2 linked regions of the Rattus norvegicus genome follow. The protein of the gene in region 2 interacts with the protein of the main gene of each other region in a biochemical or structural test. Links are inferred from orthologs where the notes say so. Each region holds a gene or a part of one and is shown on either strand. Other genes may lie near its edges.

Region 1 (7,609 bases), on a different chromosome or scaffold from region 2:
GTGCCAGAGAGAGGCAGGTCTGGCTGACAGCTCGCTCCCCAGAGAAGCCTGTCGTGTTATGCCGAGCATGTTTTAGAAGTCAAATATTGGCAGAAAGGAGGATAATGACTGGATTAGTGTGGGGGCTGTGGGGGCTCCGGGGCAGAAAGAACGAAAGACCAGGGGGGTTCAGATGGGCAGGCGAGTTAGTTGTGGCTCCACGTATACCTAGAAAAGACAGACAAGGAGACTTCGGGGACAAAACTCGAGATTTGACTCAAACATGTTAAATTTATGAAGGTAGAAAAGGCAGCTTAGGTACTTCAGAAGTCACCTCAAATGTCCCCTTGCCATCAGGGCGTCACTACAGGCTACTTTGAGACGTCCTCTTTGAGGATTGGAACCTAGTTTGTTCCCACGGAGGGCGTCTGTCCTTGGGGCCTCAGCCTGCTGGATCTTGCTCAGAGCTTCATTCCAGATGTGGGCCGTGGAGGCTGCATCTGTAGTTAACTGAGTCTGCCTTTAATCAGAATCTCGGACATGAAGTTCAAGGTTTAAATAAAGTCATAAGCTTGTGTGGACAGGATTTCCGACTGGACCAGCTTAGGATTATCTCTGAGGCTTGGCACTTCATGGCCACGGCAAACACCATCTCCTTGTTGAGCTCTGTAAACTGTTGTAATTAGGAGGGAGGAGAGATAAGGTAGTCTTATTGAACTTTATCTTGGGATCCTTTGTTTTGCAAATCTGATAGCCAATGTGTCTCTTTAAAGTTAATTCATTTCTGCCAGACTGATTACATCCACGACATAGCTCCTGCCATAATGCGTGGGCATTACTGAGCATGCCCACTCTCTGTGAGGCTGAGTACCATGTGTCTCTAGCCAGGTATCCAAGGTCCTCAGTATCACGTGAACTCTCAGGTATGTCCAAGGATTCTTCCCCGCCTGTTCACTATGAGATCTTAAAGGTCCGTAGAGCAGGCCCATCCCCATCTTCTCGCCATGCGCTCACATTTGAAGACTGTGGAGCAGTGTATCTGTTTTGACTGGCCTATCTCATAAAAGTACGTATAGAATTTCCCACTTGTGTTGTTACGTCAGAGCTCAAAATGTTACTTGGGGGCATTTGATTTTGGACTTTTAAATTGGGTTGGCATGTATTAAAGACTGTTTTATCGGTGCTGGAAAGATGGCTCAGCACCGAGAGCACTTGTTTCTGTAGAGGAGAGCAGTTCCCAGCTCCCACACGGTTACTGACTTCAGTTCCAGGGAATCTGACAGCCTCTTCTGACCACCACAGACACCAGGCACAAACATGGTACACATCATACATACAGACAAAACACTCTTACAGATAAAATAAAATTAAATAGATCTTTTTTTAAAAAAAAACCCAACAGTGGAAGAAGAAAAAATTCTGAAAATGTGCATAGCAGGAAAGTAAATTTGTAAACATTACTTCAGAAGTAAAAATAAATTAGTAGCATTTGAGACGCTTCCGATGTCATACATACACATTTTCTGTCAACTGTGTGAGCGATAGTTTATGGCTTTTCTTTTAGTTTCTATGAATGCAAGCTTTATTGTTAATGTACCTTCCATAGACATAAATCCCAACAAGGAGGTTGACAGGTCAGAAACCCGTGACATGTTATCTCTGCTACGGTACCCAGAAGAGAGTGTGGGACTCCTCAAGGCTTCCAAAGCTTCGGGTCCAGGGTCATTTTGAGGGGACTCCTTGGGGTTCTGCCTGGTGGTTCCTCTTGACGTACAGTGGCAGCAGCACATTTTGCAGTTCTCGCAGGCCTTAGACGACCCCTTGAGCATCGTCTCGCGCCTCTTCTTGAAGAACCAGTGCCTAATGCATCCTTTGCCAGTTTGGGTTCCTCGGCCAAGGCCTCAGGAGTCTCCTCGTTAGGGTTGGGGTCTGTCTCGAAGCGCTTTCTTAGCTGCTGTAACTGCTCGCAGGAGAACCGAGAGCTTCTGTCCATGCAAGGAAACCGTGGCGTTGTCGCCACCTCAGTTACTCCAGGACTGCAGCACACTCGGGTCTGCTCTTCAGTTTGAGGCTCTCTTATGACCTTTTCTAAGAAAAAATGTGTGACTTTCTCTTCACTGTTCAGTCGCCTGTGGTTCAGTAAATAACTGCATACCCATTCTCCTCCTACAAACAGCTCTGATTAAACTCATTGGGAAACAATGACAAAGGGGGACTGGAGGAGGAGGAGTTGGGAAGAAAAGGGTCAGCAGGAGAGGGCGGGGTCGTGGGTAGGTCGTAGAGTGTAACTGTGGTCAAAGTACATTTTATATGTATAAGAAATGTCATAGTAGCCCATTATTATGCATAATTGATATATGCTAGTAAGAACTTAGAAGAGTGGTATGTCAGTGGATACAGAGTGGTCAGTACCTACAAATTACTCGAATATGTAACAACAGAATAAGAGTGCTCCCAGGTACAGGGCATACTCACGTACATTTTAGAGATAGTGTTCTTCCCCTAATTATTTTAATGTTAAATTGGAAATAAGTACTTAAAATAAATCTGAACTTACAAGTTATGTGTAATGTATTATAATTTTTGTTCTTTAGCCAGAAGAACCACACCTCTTTTGGAATATATTAAAAACAGAAAATTAGAAAAGCAGGTAGGTGGCGTTTGACCTGGTGAGCGTCTGTGCTGTACCTGCTGCTTCCACACAGGAGCCTTACATTTGTGTCTGACTGTATGTACCTTCAGAGACTCCGGGAAGAAAAACGCGAGGAGCGGAGGAGGAGGGAGCTGGAGAAGAAGCGTCTGCGGGAGGAAGAGAAGAGGAAGCGGAGAGAAGAGGACAGGTGTAAAAGGAAAGATGCAGAAAAACAGAAGCGAGCGGAGAAGGACGTGAGGATCAAGGTAACTGCAGGAGCAGTGCGGCTCTGTCACCGTGGTTACGCCACTGAAGTGTCTACCGTAACTCTTTAAGGTCATCACGTGTAGGCCATCTAGCCCTTTATCCCAGTGCCTTACATCCATTCTATAACAGTCCCCCGAGTTCAGCCGTCCCCCATGACCTGTGTACTGAGGAGGAGGCAGGGACAACCTCTGACTGTGATGTAGAATGGGTCACACCACCGGAAGAGCCCATCCATGCTTTAAATTCTTGTGACTGAAGCGAGTTGCACCTGAGAACTTCCAGCTGGCCTCAGTGTCCCCCTCAGTACCTCAGGGCTAGGACGAGGCACTGGGGGATGCAGGGGGCCAAGGGAGTCTCAGCCTCATGTCCAGTTTTTCCCATGGCAGGTGCGTTTATTTATATGGATTGAAGAGATTTTTCAATCCATTGGTTAGGATCGGATCAGCTCTGCTGAGAAGTCTTTTTTTTTTTTTTTTTTTTTTTGGTTCTTTTTTTCGGAGCTGGGGACCGAACCCAGGGCCTTGCGCTTCCTAGGCAAGCGCTCTACCACTGAGCTAAATCCCCAGCCCCCTGAGAAGTCTTTAAAACTGAGATTTCACCTTACTCCACAGAGGATTTGAGATGCCTTAGGGGGTTCTGAATACACAATATAAAGAAAGCATCAACCATCATTAACTGTTACTTTTTTTTGATTTTTTTTTTAAGATTTATTCATTTATTATATATAAGTACACTGTAGCTGTCTTCAGATACACCAGAAGAGGGCATCGGATCTCTTTACAGATGGTTGTGAGCCACCATGTGGTTGCTGGGAATTGAACTCATGACCTCTGGAAGAGCAGTCGGTGCTCTTAACTGCTGAGCCATCTCTCCAGCCCCAACTGTTACTTTTAATACGTAAGGATCATGTCCATGGTTAGCAAAATGCGTATGTATGTGCACCACATGTGTGTCTGGTACCAGGAGAAGCCAGTAGAGAGCACTGAGTCCCCTGGAACTGGCGTTAATTATGGTTGTGAGCTACCGTGTGGGTGACAGGAACCTAACCCAGGTGCTCTTGAAGAGCAGCAAGGGTTAACCACTGGGCCACAGTAATAAATCATACAGTAATAAATCACACAGTAAATCACATCAATGTTACGATTTCTTAGCTTCTTAAGAAACTGGAAACGGGAGAAGAAGCGACCACTGAGAAACACAAAGAAAGAGGTGAAGCCGTTGGTGCTGGCGAGGAGAAGCAGGAAGCCCGGCTGGTGGAGAGCCAGCCGGAGACACCTGGGGAGAGGTGAGCGCTCCTATCGCAGTGACCTAGCGTGGTGAACACTGTGACCCAGCAGCCTGAGTCTGAGCTCAGCGGGGAAGTCTCCTGCCCTCGCCTCCTCCCGGCTTAGGTCTGCAGGTCTGCTGTCCAGTCCTGCTTTCTGTGTGAACCACACCTACGAGTGCTTTCCTGGGCGTGTTGGGATTTCACACCCACTTTTACTCCAACTCTTCCGCAGTCTCTCTGTGGTACTAAGGACGACACAGAGAGGCTGGCAGGAAGTTCTCAGGTGTGACTCGGTTCAGGTACCTACAACGACAGTTTCAGAGCCCCATCTTTTAGGGCTGGTCCCTTTTGGAGGTTGGTTTGTTGGTTTGGTTTATTGTATTTATTTATTTATTGTGGTGGAGCGATAGGCCTTAGTATTATAATTCTTCTCCTCAGCTCTGTCTTCCATTGGTCCTGCCTCTTTATCTTTACCTGGAGGGAGCTCAGCCTTGATGGGGCAGGCACAGCCCAGGCCCTGGGTATCGTGTCTGCCACACACACCCAGGCTTGCCCACACCAAGGCTGCTTCTACTTGTTGGATTACCAACTCCGTAGTCTTTAGCACTTTGATCTGCGTTTTAGCATTGTAGCCTCACAGTGTATGTACAGCAGTACTGTGCGGTCCTCTCTTGATTCCCTGCTTCCCATGTGGCTAGGACTCGGAGGGAATGTGCTAGGTTGTGCCCATGGTTCAAGTGAGCAAAGACATCAAGAACCAGATAAACCAAGCATCTTGTTCACTACTCCTTGAACCTTTCCATAGCGTGGATGAGTCCATCTGGCACTGTTAGATGTCAGTTCACCTGGGCACCTAGGAATGTCACTCATTTGTCTGAGCTGTACCATGCTGTCTTAGGGTTTTACTGCTGTGAACAGACACCATGACCAAGGCAACTCTTATAAGGACAACATTTAACTGGGGCTGGCTTACAGGTTCAGAGGCTCAGTCCATTATCATCAAGGCAGGAGCATGGCAGTGACCAGGCAGGCTTGGTGCTCTAGACAGAGCAAGAGTTCTACATCTTGATCCAAAGGCAGTCAGCAGAGAACTCAGCATCCTCAGGCAGCTAGGAGGAGGGTCACAGAGACCACCCCACAGTGACACTTCCTCCAACAAGGCCACACCTCTTTCAGTGCCACTCCCACCCCTGGGGATGGCACCTCCTTTGTCCACTGTGTCCACGTACCTTAGTGCTGTGCCATTGTATAGTTGCCGGTCAGGACCAGTGCAGATAGCGTTGTTTGCCCATCTTCTCCGTGTCCTCTGTCGGGTGCTGTGAGCCCATGGCTGCTAACCCAGCTCTGTAGCAGTGGGCTCGTTCTCACACAGCCCATTCAGGGTAGAAGGGAGACGCTTACCTGCCCTTAGTTATTAACCATTTGTATCGACTCACAGGTTACAGGACGGCAGTGATAAAGAACCAAGGGACAAAAGATTTCGAGAGAAAGAGCCTGAGACTCCGAGATGCCATGACAGTTGCAGAAAGCACAGCACTCACTCAGAGTTTGCCAGGTTTTCCAGAAGGAGCGAGGAGGAGCCAAAGTGGAGGAAAGGCTTCACCCAGGACGGAGGGGAGAGGGGCCAGGACGGGGGCGTCCCTGCGGATGGCAGAGCAAAGCAGCAAGGAGCACAAGGAGTATGACAGACGTCTTCCCTGTTGAGGTGTGCGCGGACACAGTGTGCTCTGCCGTCTCACAGCCATTTTGCCCAAATAGAAATCCTTACTAAGCTGGAGGAGAGCAGTCTGCGGTGTGTGCAGTCCAGGGTCGCACTGTCTGTGTCAGCTTGCATGCCCATGCGGAAGGAATTGCAAAGTCCTCGTCTGTTAGGGCATTCGTGCTCATCTGGGATGCACTGAACTTGGAACTAAATTCAGAATAAAACATTCCATCATCTTTTTAAAGAATCAGGTTTTTATTGACCAGCAAAAATTGTTTAGTGTAAGTCATTTACTGGAGATGAATATTGTAAATGCAGCCTTAAGATCATAAGGGAAAGGGCTGGAGAGATGGCTCAGGGGTTAAGAGCACTGACTGCTCTTCCAGAGGTCCTGAGTTCAATTCCCAGCAACCACATGGTGGCTCACAACCATCTGTAATGGGATCTGATGCCCTCTTCTGGTGTGTCTGAGGACAGTGACAGTGTACTCATATGAAGTAAATAAATCTTGAGAAAAGAAAAAAGATGAGGGAAGGAGATCTTGTGAGCTTTCTGTGATGAGTCAGCTCTGCCTACTCAGACCAGAAGAGGTCTGGGCAGAAATGTGAAGGTCACTTTTGTTCAGTCACATTTCCCAGAGCCACATTCAGGGTAGCACTACCAGTGGGGCCACCTCTAGGCTGTTCCCCACTAATAAACCAATATCTGGGAGCCAAGAGCTGGGGGGGGGCAGATAAACAGAGGGCTGCCATGCTGGGAGATAAGGGGGGATCGGCCCCCAAAGCCTGTCTTAGGAATGCAGGCTTTTATGGGGAGGGAAAGGGGTGGCCGTGAGGTGGTGGGCAGGAAGGCTGCTGCTAAGTGGGTCGTAGCCATGCAATATGTATCTTGATATTTTGTCTCAGGGCCAGGACATCTCTCAAACTTGCTCTCCTGGGGCTAGAACCTACAGTTTCCTTAGACAAGCACCTTCTTCACTGCAAGTTAAACCTCACAGCAGGTCTTTGTGTCAGCTGATACACAGACTCGAAGACTAAAGAGCGGCCTTCTGTGTTCTGAAGTTCTCCGAAGGCAGCCAGTGTTCTGTTTCTGGAATTCTTCTAAAGGAAGATTAGTTAGCGGTTTATGTCTTCGTCATTGAGCTGTCCCTTCTGTTTAAGATGCTGGCAAAGGGAAGGAGCTCCACTGAGGCTAACTTCACTCACACGCATGCTCACCAGGCCTGGGAGCCTCACCAAGCCTCTGTGATTGGAGCATCTTAAGGACGTGACTAAATGGGACCATACCACATGTGACCCTTGAGGCTGGCTATTTTCACTTATTGATAGCCTTCAGATCCATTCAAGGTGATGACCTTGTAAAAAGTGTATATTTTTATTTGTTTCCCATAGTGACATCCATTTTCAATGCTTCCAGGAACGACCAAAAGAGATGACTCACTACCTTTTAGTGTCCCAAAGACTCCTGTGGTCATTGTAACCTAGAGGATACTGAGCATAACCTTGGTGTATTGGAGATGTACATGCACCTGACCCCTCCCCTTAGCTGCTTCTGTTTGAGCAATGGGCGCACTCTAACTTTAAGTGGGGCCCACCAACTGCGCTCGCTGCTCCAGATGAGCTGTTGAAAGACCCTGGACACAGTTCCCTCTTCCCTAAGAGGCCTGGCTCTTTAGAAAGATCAGACTGTATTCTCCACTGCATACAAGCAGATGTCACCTCAATGAGAGTCAGGCTCCAAGAGTCACTTAAGGTAACTGCCT
Region 2 (8,049 bases):
TCTTGGCATCAGCAATAGTGTCTGGGTTTGGTGTCTGTATATGGGATGGATCCCCAGGTGGAGCAGTCTCTGGATGGCCTTTCCTTCAGTCTCTGTTCCACTCTAAAGTCCGTGTTTCCTTTAGACAGGAGCAATACAGACCTAACTTTTATATACTTAGAAGTTTCTCTGGGGCTAGTCCTAAGCCTTCTGCTTCTTGATAATTTCTTTGGCAATCTCTTACCCATTCTGTGGCTGTAAGAATGGTTCCCTATGTGATGACAGTTTAACTTAGGATTTTTTGACTTTATGATGGTACAAACGTAAACTTACATTCAGTAAAAACTCACATTTTGACATTTTTTTTTGCCTTGAGATAGCAAACTTTGGCCTGGAGGCTAGGCAGCTGCAGTTCCCCGTTGGCTATGTTAAGGGCTCATGAGAGATAGCAGCTAAGGCTCTAAGCACACTGCACTGCTGAGCTAGGATGTTAGGAGGTTAGGGGGCTGAAATAGTTTCAGTTTGGGTTGAAGACGCAAGCCTGTTGTAAATCGAGCAGCACCTGTAATGTTGATGATTAAATTTTCATCTCTCGGGCAGAGTTCCTTCTCCTGTTTCAACTGTTCACTTAATTGTATCTAGCTGGATAACACAGGCTTTAGTGTACTAAACATATGGTTTAGTGCTGGGGCGCAAACCCAGGGTTGTCTGCGTGCTAAACAAATGCTCTACCATTGAGCTCAATCCTTAGCTCCTCTTCTCTTTTGATCCCTGTGATCACAAGATTTCCTAATAAACCTGATAACAAGACAGGGGTTGACCTGTTTAGGATGAGAACTTGTTCATCAATACAGGGGTAAATCTTTTTTTTCTTCTTCCTCTTTGAAAAGTTAAAAGAAAATTCGTGTGTGTGTGTGTGTGTGTGTGTGTGTGTGTGTCTGGCTGGATGTACAGACCTGCACTGCAGAGGCCAGTAGAGAGCACCAGAGTTCCTGGGTCTGGAGTTGCACGGTTGGTTGTGGTCTACCATGTGGGTGCTGGAAACTGAACCCAGTTATCTGCAAGAGCTGCAAGTGATTCTAACTCTTTTTTTTTTCTTTTTCTTCTTTTTTCTTTTTTTCAGAGCTGGGGACTGAACCCAGGGCCTTGCGCTTGCTAGGCAAGTGCTCTACCACTGAGCTAAACCCCCAACCCCGTGATTCTAACTCTTAAGCCATCTCTCCAGAGCCCACATTTTCTCAGTTTTTAAATGGGGTCCTGAGTTAGAGCCCAGGGCTTCATGCAAGATAAGGCAATGTTGTATGTAAGCTCTGTTACCCAGACCCAGGAAACAAACACTTTTTGCTGTTGCTGTTGTTGTTTGAGATAGGATTTTGCTAAGTGTGCCAGGCTGGCCTCTAACTCGTAACAATCCTCCTGCTCCAGCCTCTCAGTACTGAATTACAGATGTGAACCACCACCACACCAGATCTGGAGCAGGGTAAGGCAGACAAATTAAGAAAAGAAAACCCCGGGGTTGGGGATTTAGCTCAGTGGTAGAGCGCTTGCCTAGCAAGCGCAAGGCCCTGGGTTCAGTCCCCAGCTCCAAAAAAAAAAAAAAAAAAAAAAAAAAAAAAAAAAAAAAAAGAAAAAGAAAAGAAAACCCCAAACTTGCAAATGGTCCTCGGTTGTGTGGTATCATAGAAAAAAATTATAATTACTTATCAATGGTATAAATTGCAGCATTCACCTCTTTCCTTTGGTAAGGTACCCTTTATGTGATTAACCTATTGGTTATTTTGAACAAGAAAAAATTAACACAGGAAGTGCACAATTTGAAAGAGAATTTACTTACAACTAATAATGAAGGGAGCAGGGAGAAAGCAAACGAGCAAAGGCTGAATACAAAGGGGCAACGACATCCCAAGCATTAAGGATGCTAACAGATCATTCATTATATGAGCTTGAATACTGGTGTGGCTCCTCGAGTCAAGCAGGAATCCAGTCTTGTTTTGCACCTTTGATCCATTGGCTACAGGCCAGCCAGAGCGGTACCATATGTACATCCAACCAGACCACAATTTCAACACGAATCGGAGGTCAGACGCACATTTATATCCACTTGGGAAAACAGGTTGTGCAGCTGATAACGCACTTCAAAGTCAATTTGGTTCAAGTTCGTAACCCCATCCCTTAAAAAAAAAGGGGGGGCGATTTCATTCCACTGTGGAATTTAAAATACTTACAATAAAGGACTTTTTGTATTTCCCATATGGGAAAAGCCTTGACTGCTCTCAATTCTAGCTGTTTTTTTCAGGCCCAACACCTGAAACTGGTTCTGGAAACCCCCCACCCGTCTAGTCCTACTCCGAAGCAACCTCTACCTTCCTCACCAGCCATGTTCTTTAGCTTCTCCAGTTTTCAATTCCTTAAATCTTCTTCAATCTCTCGGTATTAGTCCAATCAGACTTTGCCTCCTCGAACCCCTTCCCCGCGTTCGCATCAGGCAACCCCCTTGAGAACTGGGTGACCAAACTTGACCCCGACAGCGCCCCGTAATTCTACTATCCCACCACTCTTCTACGCCTCTTTAGAGTTCCGCCCCGCCTCATTCCCGCTCCCCCCGCCCCAACCCGTGAATTGCCTGCGCCTGCGCACCTCCAATTCAGGCGCTTTCCCTTTCCTGACGGCCAATCCACTTCCCGCCTCCGGTCCTTGGAACACTCCTCCCCTCTGCTGGGGCCCTGAATGAAGGTGCTGGAAGAAGCTGTCCTAGATATTGCCTGTATAAAAAATTTACAGATAGGAGAATTTCAACGAATCACTGAAGAAGTAGAGCACCCTCGAGACTGGGTATACATTTATCACTTCAGAACCCGAATGGGGGTCTGGACACGCAGAAAGGACCGGCAGCGATGGTCAATTTGGATTAGGCAGTAATGCGGGCAGCCCTTTCCTTTCCCCCTTCCCTCCGCCCCGCCCCCCTAGCTGCCCGGCCGCGTTGGTGAGTGGCGGGCGGGAGGGCCGACGGGCGGAGGGAGGAGGGGGAGCTGAGGGAAGGCGGGCCCTCGGCTGCGAGATAGGTGGGGGGAGGGGAGGGGAGAGCCCGAGCTCTGGAGTTGGTGCTGGGAAACCCGGGGCTAATGTTGACAACAGGCACTAGGTGAGTCCCAGGGATCCTCCTTCCCCTCCGCTCCGACGATAGGCAAGAGCTGGCGCGGAGGGGTACCGGCCTGGACTCCTACTCCCCGAGGGACCCGAGAGGCGACTCCGCACTCCTGCTCTCCGGGGGCGGCGAGCAGTGGAGGGACGAGCGGGTCGGACGTCGTTCTCCTCAGACCCCTCTCCCGGAGGGTCTGGTCAATGTGAGGGATCTCTCGGCCGGGCCGAGGCTGGCGTGAGGGGCGACAGAAGAGGTGTCTGCCCCACATGCCTGGGCCCAGCCTCGGGGCTGGAGGCGGGGGAGTCTGCTGTGGAGGGGGAAGGTGTTCGGGGGCGTGGAAGAGTGCGTGGAGAGGCTGGGGCGAGCTCCGGAGTCCGGAGGGAAGCGTGGACGGGGGAGCGGGGAGGATGTAGAGTAGTCAGACAAGCTCGAGAGGCTTCGGTGCTGAGGGAGTGTAGGTTGAGAAGTTAGGGTTGGGGCTTAGATGTCCTCAGGGAATAGGAGTTGTGGACGGGAAGTATGTCAATGGTGGGACCCTGAACCACAGCGGGGGTTTGTGGGAGATTTGTGGGTGATGCGTGTGCAGGGGAAGAGGCTTGGAGTGGACCCGCAGATGGTGAGAACTGGGCTGTTTGGGTTTACTTCCTTTTAATCAGGTAGGCTAGTTGATTCTTCGACTCTTCCTCAAGGCTCTCATTACTTCCCTTACGAGTACTGTTGAACTAAAGAGGTGATCACACGGTGTTTGATCTGGTAAGCCAAGCAGAGGCTGCTTACAGGTTTTGGGGATACGCATGGTAGCGAATAGCTCAGCTCTTAGAAAAACTTAAATGTATCAATTGACACGGTAGATGAAAGTAAGGCTCTTAACTGACCCTTCTCATTTGTCATAGTTTTTAGGTGTTCATAAAAGTCGTACAAATCATCGGGCAAGCCTTTATTGAGCTGTGGTGAAATTTCTGAAAAATTTGAGTAAGTCTCACACATACATATAAGATACATAATGACTTTGTAAAAGAATAAACTCAGAGACCAGAAGATATCCCTGTGCTGTTCTACCTTTAGAACATTTTGAGTTCAAAACCCAGACTTGAAGAGTAAACCAGCATTCTCCTACTCTGTAGTATTTTCAGAGCAGTCTGATTGTGATTTCATACATAGACCATATGGTACTTAGCAGACTTATAGCTGTATTAGGGAAACACATCCCTTCTCTGTCCTCTCTCAGGACATTGCCTTAGAATCTGTTTTACTAGTAAAAGAGTCCTTTTTTACTTTTTCTTTTGGGAGTTTAGAATGTAATTAGAAAGGCAGATAAAATAATACAGATCGAGTGCCTAGGGTGGTGTTTTGGGAGCTGGAAAGGTGGTTTTCAACCATACTTTCAGCCCGTTTACAGGCTGTCTGAATATAATTGTAATCCGGCAGAGTAGTTTGTAAAAGTTAATCCTATTTCAACTTCAACACCACTAACTTTTATATTCATTATTTTATTACATGGGGAATTTGGAAACACTTTAGGTGAATTATTTAGCTGCTATTAAATACGAATCTAGCGTTTTTATTAGATTTAATTTATTATATTTAAATTGACAGGATACAAATGTGTCTTGTTGGATTCACGTTTGTTTTTTAGTTAACTTGGTGCGTGTGAAGAGTGGAAAAGAGCACTGGGTAGCTCCTGAGGCAGATGGGTAACCTTGGGCAGCTAGCGCTGTCGTCAGCACCAGAAGCTTGGAGTGGGTAGAGCCCCGTAGTCTTTAATCCTAAAGATCTCTCATCTTGTACCACCTTTTCAGTGTCAGGTGTGAAAGAGAGCTGACATTTATTTAGTGTCTTTCTCTATGGTAGCTACTGTGATGTAGGCTAGTAACTCTAGGGAACACCAGCTCCATTTTATCTGCAAATAAGTAGAATAAACGGAGAAGTTAAGCTGCCTGATTTCCGTAGCTAGTAGGGTCCAAAGCTGGGATACACACTTGAGGCTGACTTGAACACCTGTTCTCTTTGCTCACGTCCCATTGCTGCCTGTACTTTTGGTTATAAATTTGTTAGCTGGAATTTGGTTTTGACAAAGGACTTACAGATCTCTTTGGGAATCTGTTCTGTCATCCTCTGAAGCAGGAAGTGTCTTAGTTTGCTATTGACTGTCACTGTCTATTAGTGTGCTAGTTACTTACATTTACCTAATAAACGAACATTGGTGAGTCATGGCAGTTTGGGACCCTGCAGAGCTTATAAATGATGATCTTTCATGGATTTGTCAGATAAAGAGTAAGATTGTCGATTCTGTGGAAAAATTTAAAATTTAATTTATAAGGAACACTTTAGTTATAAATTCTGATGTTGATTTTGTTGTCTGAGAACTGTGTGTTCTTGTAATCTTGAAATACCTTGTTTATACTTCACATCACAAAATACAAATTCTATAAAATTTTGTTGCATATAACGATTAATACCCTTAAGTAAGATCGTATTGTTACCTTAAACAGGACGTGTCTCCGTAGGTTCAGCCAGTGTGCCAGTAAGCTAAGAGCTTCACGGAGCAAGTGCCAAAGCATTATTAGGCCCCCTGCTGAGATTCACAGTTCTATGACTTGTCATAGTCGGGGTCTGTGATCAAGTCTTCCATCTCACAGGCCGGCGCTCTCAGGGTTCTTAACTTTGGTTAAGACTGTGAATTCACATTCCAGTTCTATCACCAGCTGTGGGGACCTTGGTCAAGTTACTTGGTTAAGTCTCAGTTTACTCATTTATAAGTAGGGAAGACAATACCCACCTCATAAAAGCTTTAGTATTAAGTGAGACAATATACATAAAAGGTTTAGTGTGGTACCTGTGACTAGACACTGGCATTACACTGTTTGAAGGTTGGGTTAGAGCGTGGTGGTGTCACAGTCAAGGCGGTATACACTGCAGGGTAAGAGGTAAATGAGAGTAGCGGGGAGGCTGAAGGAAGGTGGAGGCTGGTACTAAGCTGTCTATGGACCTTCAGCACTCTCCTGGTCTAGGTTGTCTTTCTGGTCATATTTTAACTCTAAAGTAGGAAATTCCTTATTTATTGATACTTTATTATTGCAAAGGCTTTAGTTATTAACCTGGGATTTCTTGCTATAATTTAAATGCTGTACTTGAAAATACTTAAGACAACTTGTACATCCTTACCTTTTTCCAAGACAGCAAGAAGTTTAAATACTTTTATACTTTGTAAATAAAATTGTGATTTTTCTCATATGTAACTTGCAGATAATTTAGAAGTCAAAACATAAAAGCAGTGCCTGAACGTTGTGTGAGATACCTAGCTCTAGTAGAGAAGTGTATTTTTTGAGAAGGCCTACATTTTGGTGAGATATACAGGTTTTTTCTTTCAGTTTATGTAGTTTCCAGTTAAGCATGTGAGTTTGTTTAGTGCTGTCCAAATAGCACATTCTGTGATGGTGGAAATGTTTGGTATCTGCACTGCCCTGCTTGGAAGCCACTGGTCATGAGGAATTGAACACTTGAAGTGCGGTGGCCCTGAGCAACTGAATTACAGGTTTTATTTAAGTTGAATTTGTGTGTAAGTGGCTTAGTGCAGTACTACTAAGTAGTACTACTAGTAGTAGTTTTTCAGCCAGTGATACTTATGTCCCTCAGGAGCATTTATTATCTGGAGTAATTTGTTGTCATTTACCACATGGGAGGCACAGAGGTGCTTAGTTGCTTCAGGTTTATAGGATAACCTTTAAGTTCTACAAAGAATGAATTATCTGATAGGCTGAGGCTCTAGCTCAGTGGTAGAGTGCTTACCTTGTGGGCAAAAAGCCTGACTTTCATTTCTAACACTGCTAAACAAACAAAAAAACCCAAAAAACCCCACCAGACTTGCTCAAAATGATAGCAGTGCTGAGGTTTAGAAACTGGACTACTGGCTGCCCTGCTGACAGTACAGAACAGAATATGCAGGTCTTATTAATCATTGTGCTTATAAACATTCTCTTGTACTAATGAGATTGAAGGCCTGCTCTAATTTGAGCGAGTTTTTTATTTTACAAGTTTGATAAGATTATAGTAACGGGTAAAATTTATGACTCAGAATTCTATACTCTGTTCATTGGTTAGGTGGAAGCAAGAGTTTTTGCTTTGTAACTCCTCTCTTGAGTAAATACGTTCCAAGAATATTGCATGAAGTAGTAAATCAGGATCTCTATCTCTTCCCTCATTTTGGAGTGCTGAGACGTGGGCTTCCCTCATTAGATAGCATTCTCTCACTGAACTGTGATCACAGCAAAAGAGTCAGACTTATTTGCTTGTTTCACAGTGCGGAGGATTGAATGAATTTAGGGCCTAAGACATGCTTGTCCACTGAGCTGCATCCCCAATGGAGGTCCGATGACAACCTGTAGGAATTGGTTCTCGTATTCCATCCACTGTGAGTTCCTGGGCTGGTCAGGTTGGGCACAGCACCTTCACCTGCTGAGCTGCCTTGCCCGCCTTTTTTTTTTTTTTTTTTTAAGTTAGGGACTTAACTATATAGCAATTTTGATGTGCAATTCACTATATAACACAGGCTGACCTCTTAACTCATGGCAGTTCCTACCTTGACCTACTGAGCATTGCTCTTAACCATGTAAAAAGCATGGGTTAAAACTTACTCATGCTGTCTCCAGTTATAGTGATGGATTGTTTTAAAGTTAATCATGGTTGGACTGATAATATGTGCCTAGAAGTTCTAAATGCTGCACTAGCACTTTCTTGTTCTGTTTATTTTATTTTATTTTATTTTATTTTATTTTATTTTATTTATAATACACTGTAGCTGTCTTCAGGCCCACCAAAAGAGGGCATCAGATCTCATTAAGATGATTGTGAGCCACCATGTGGGTGCTGGGATTTGAACTCAGGACCTCTGAAGAGCAGTCAGTGCTTTGAACCACTGAGCCATCTCT

The links. The genes of interacting proteins can lie anywhere in the genome.
Region 1: the proteins of Upf2 (region 2) and Upf3a form a complex in vitro, tested with the Homo sapiens proteins (2 studies listed by IntAct, with this or other methods). The link is inferred for Rattus norvegicus from reciprocal best matches to the Homo sapiens genes UPF2 and UPF3A.

The regions. Positions count from the first base shown.
Region 1 is NC_086034.1:82,458,128-82,465,736, reverse strand, and holds the end of Upf3a (regulator of nonsense transcripts 3A), read left to right. Parts: intron 1-2,573; coding exon 2,574-2,629; intron 2,630-2,721; coding exon 2,722-2,877; intron 2,878-4,029; coding exon 4,030-4,163; intron 4,164-5,583; coding exon 5,584-5,830; 3' UTR 5,831-6,086; downstream 6,087-7,609. UniProt on the Homo sapiens protein: Involved in nonsense-mediated decay (NMD) of mRNAs containing premature stop codons by associating with the nuclear exon junction complex (EJC) and serving as link between the EJC core and NMD machinery.
Region 2 is NC_086035.1:77,240,179-77,248,227, reverse strand, and holds the start of Upf2 (regulator of nonsense transcripts 2), read left to right. Parts: upstream 1-2,961; 5' UTR 2,962-3,121; intron 3,122-3,207; exon of another isoform or gene 3,208-3,323; intron 3,324-3,737; exon of another isoform or gene 3,738-3,874; intron 3,875-4,014; exon of another isoform or gene 4,015-4,093; intron 4,094-5,604; exon of another isoform or gene 5,605-5,716; intron 5,717-5,734; exon of another isoform or gene 5,735-5,853; intron 5,854-7,421; exon of another isoform or gene 7,422-7,532; intron 7,533-8,049. UniProt on the Homo sapiens protein: Involved in nonsense-mediated decay (NMD) of mRNAs containing premature stop codons by associating with the nuclear exon junction complex (EJC).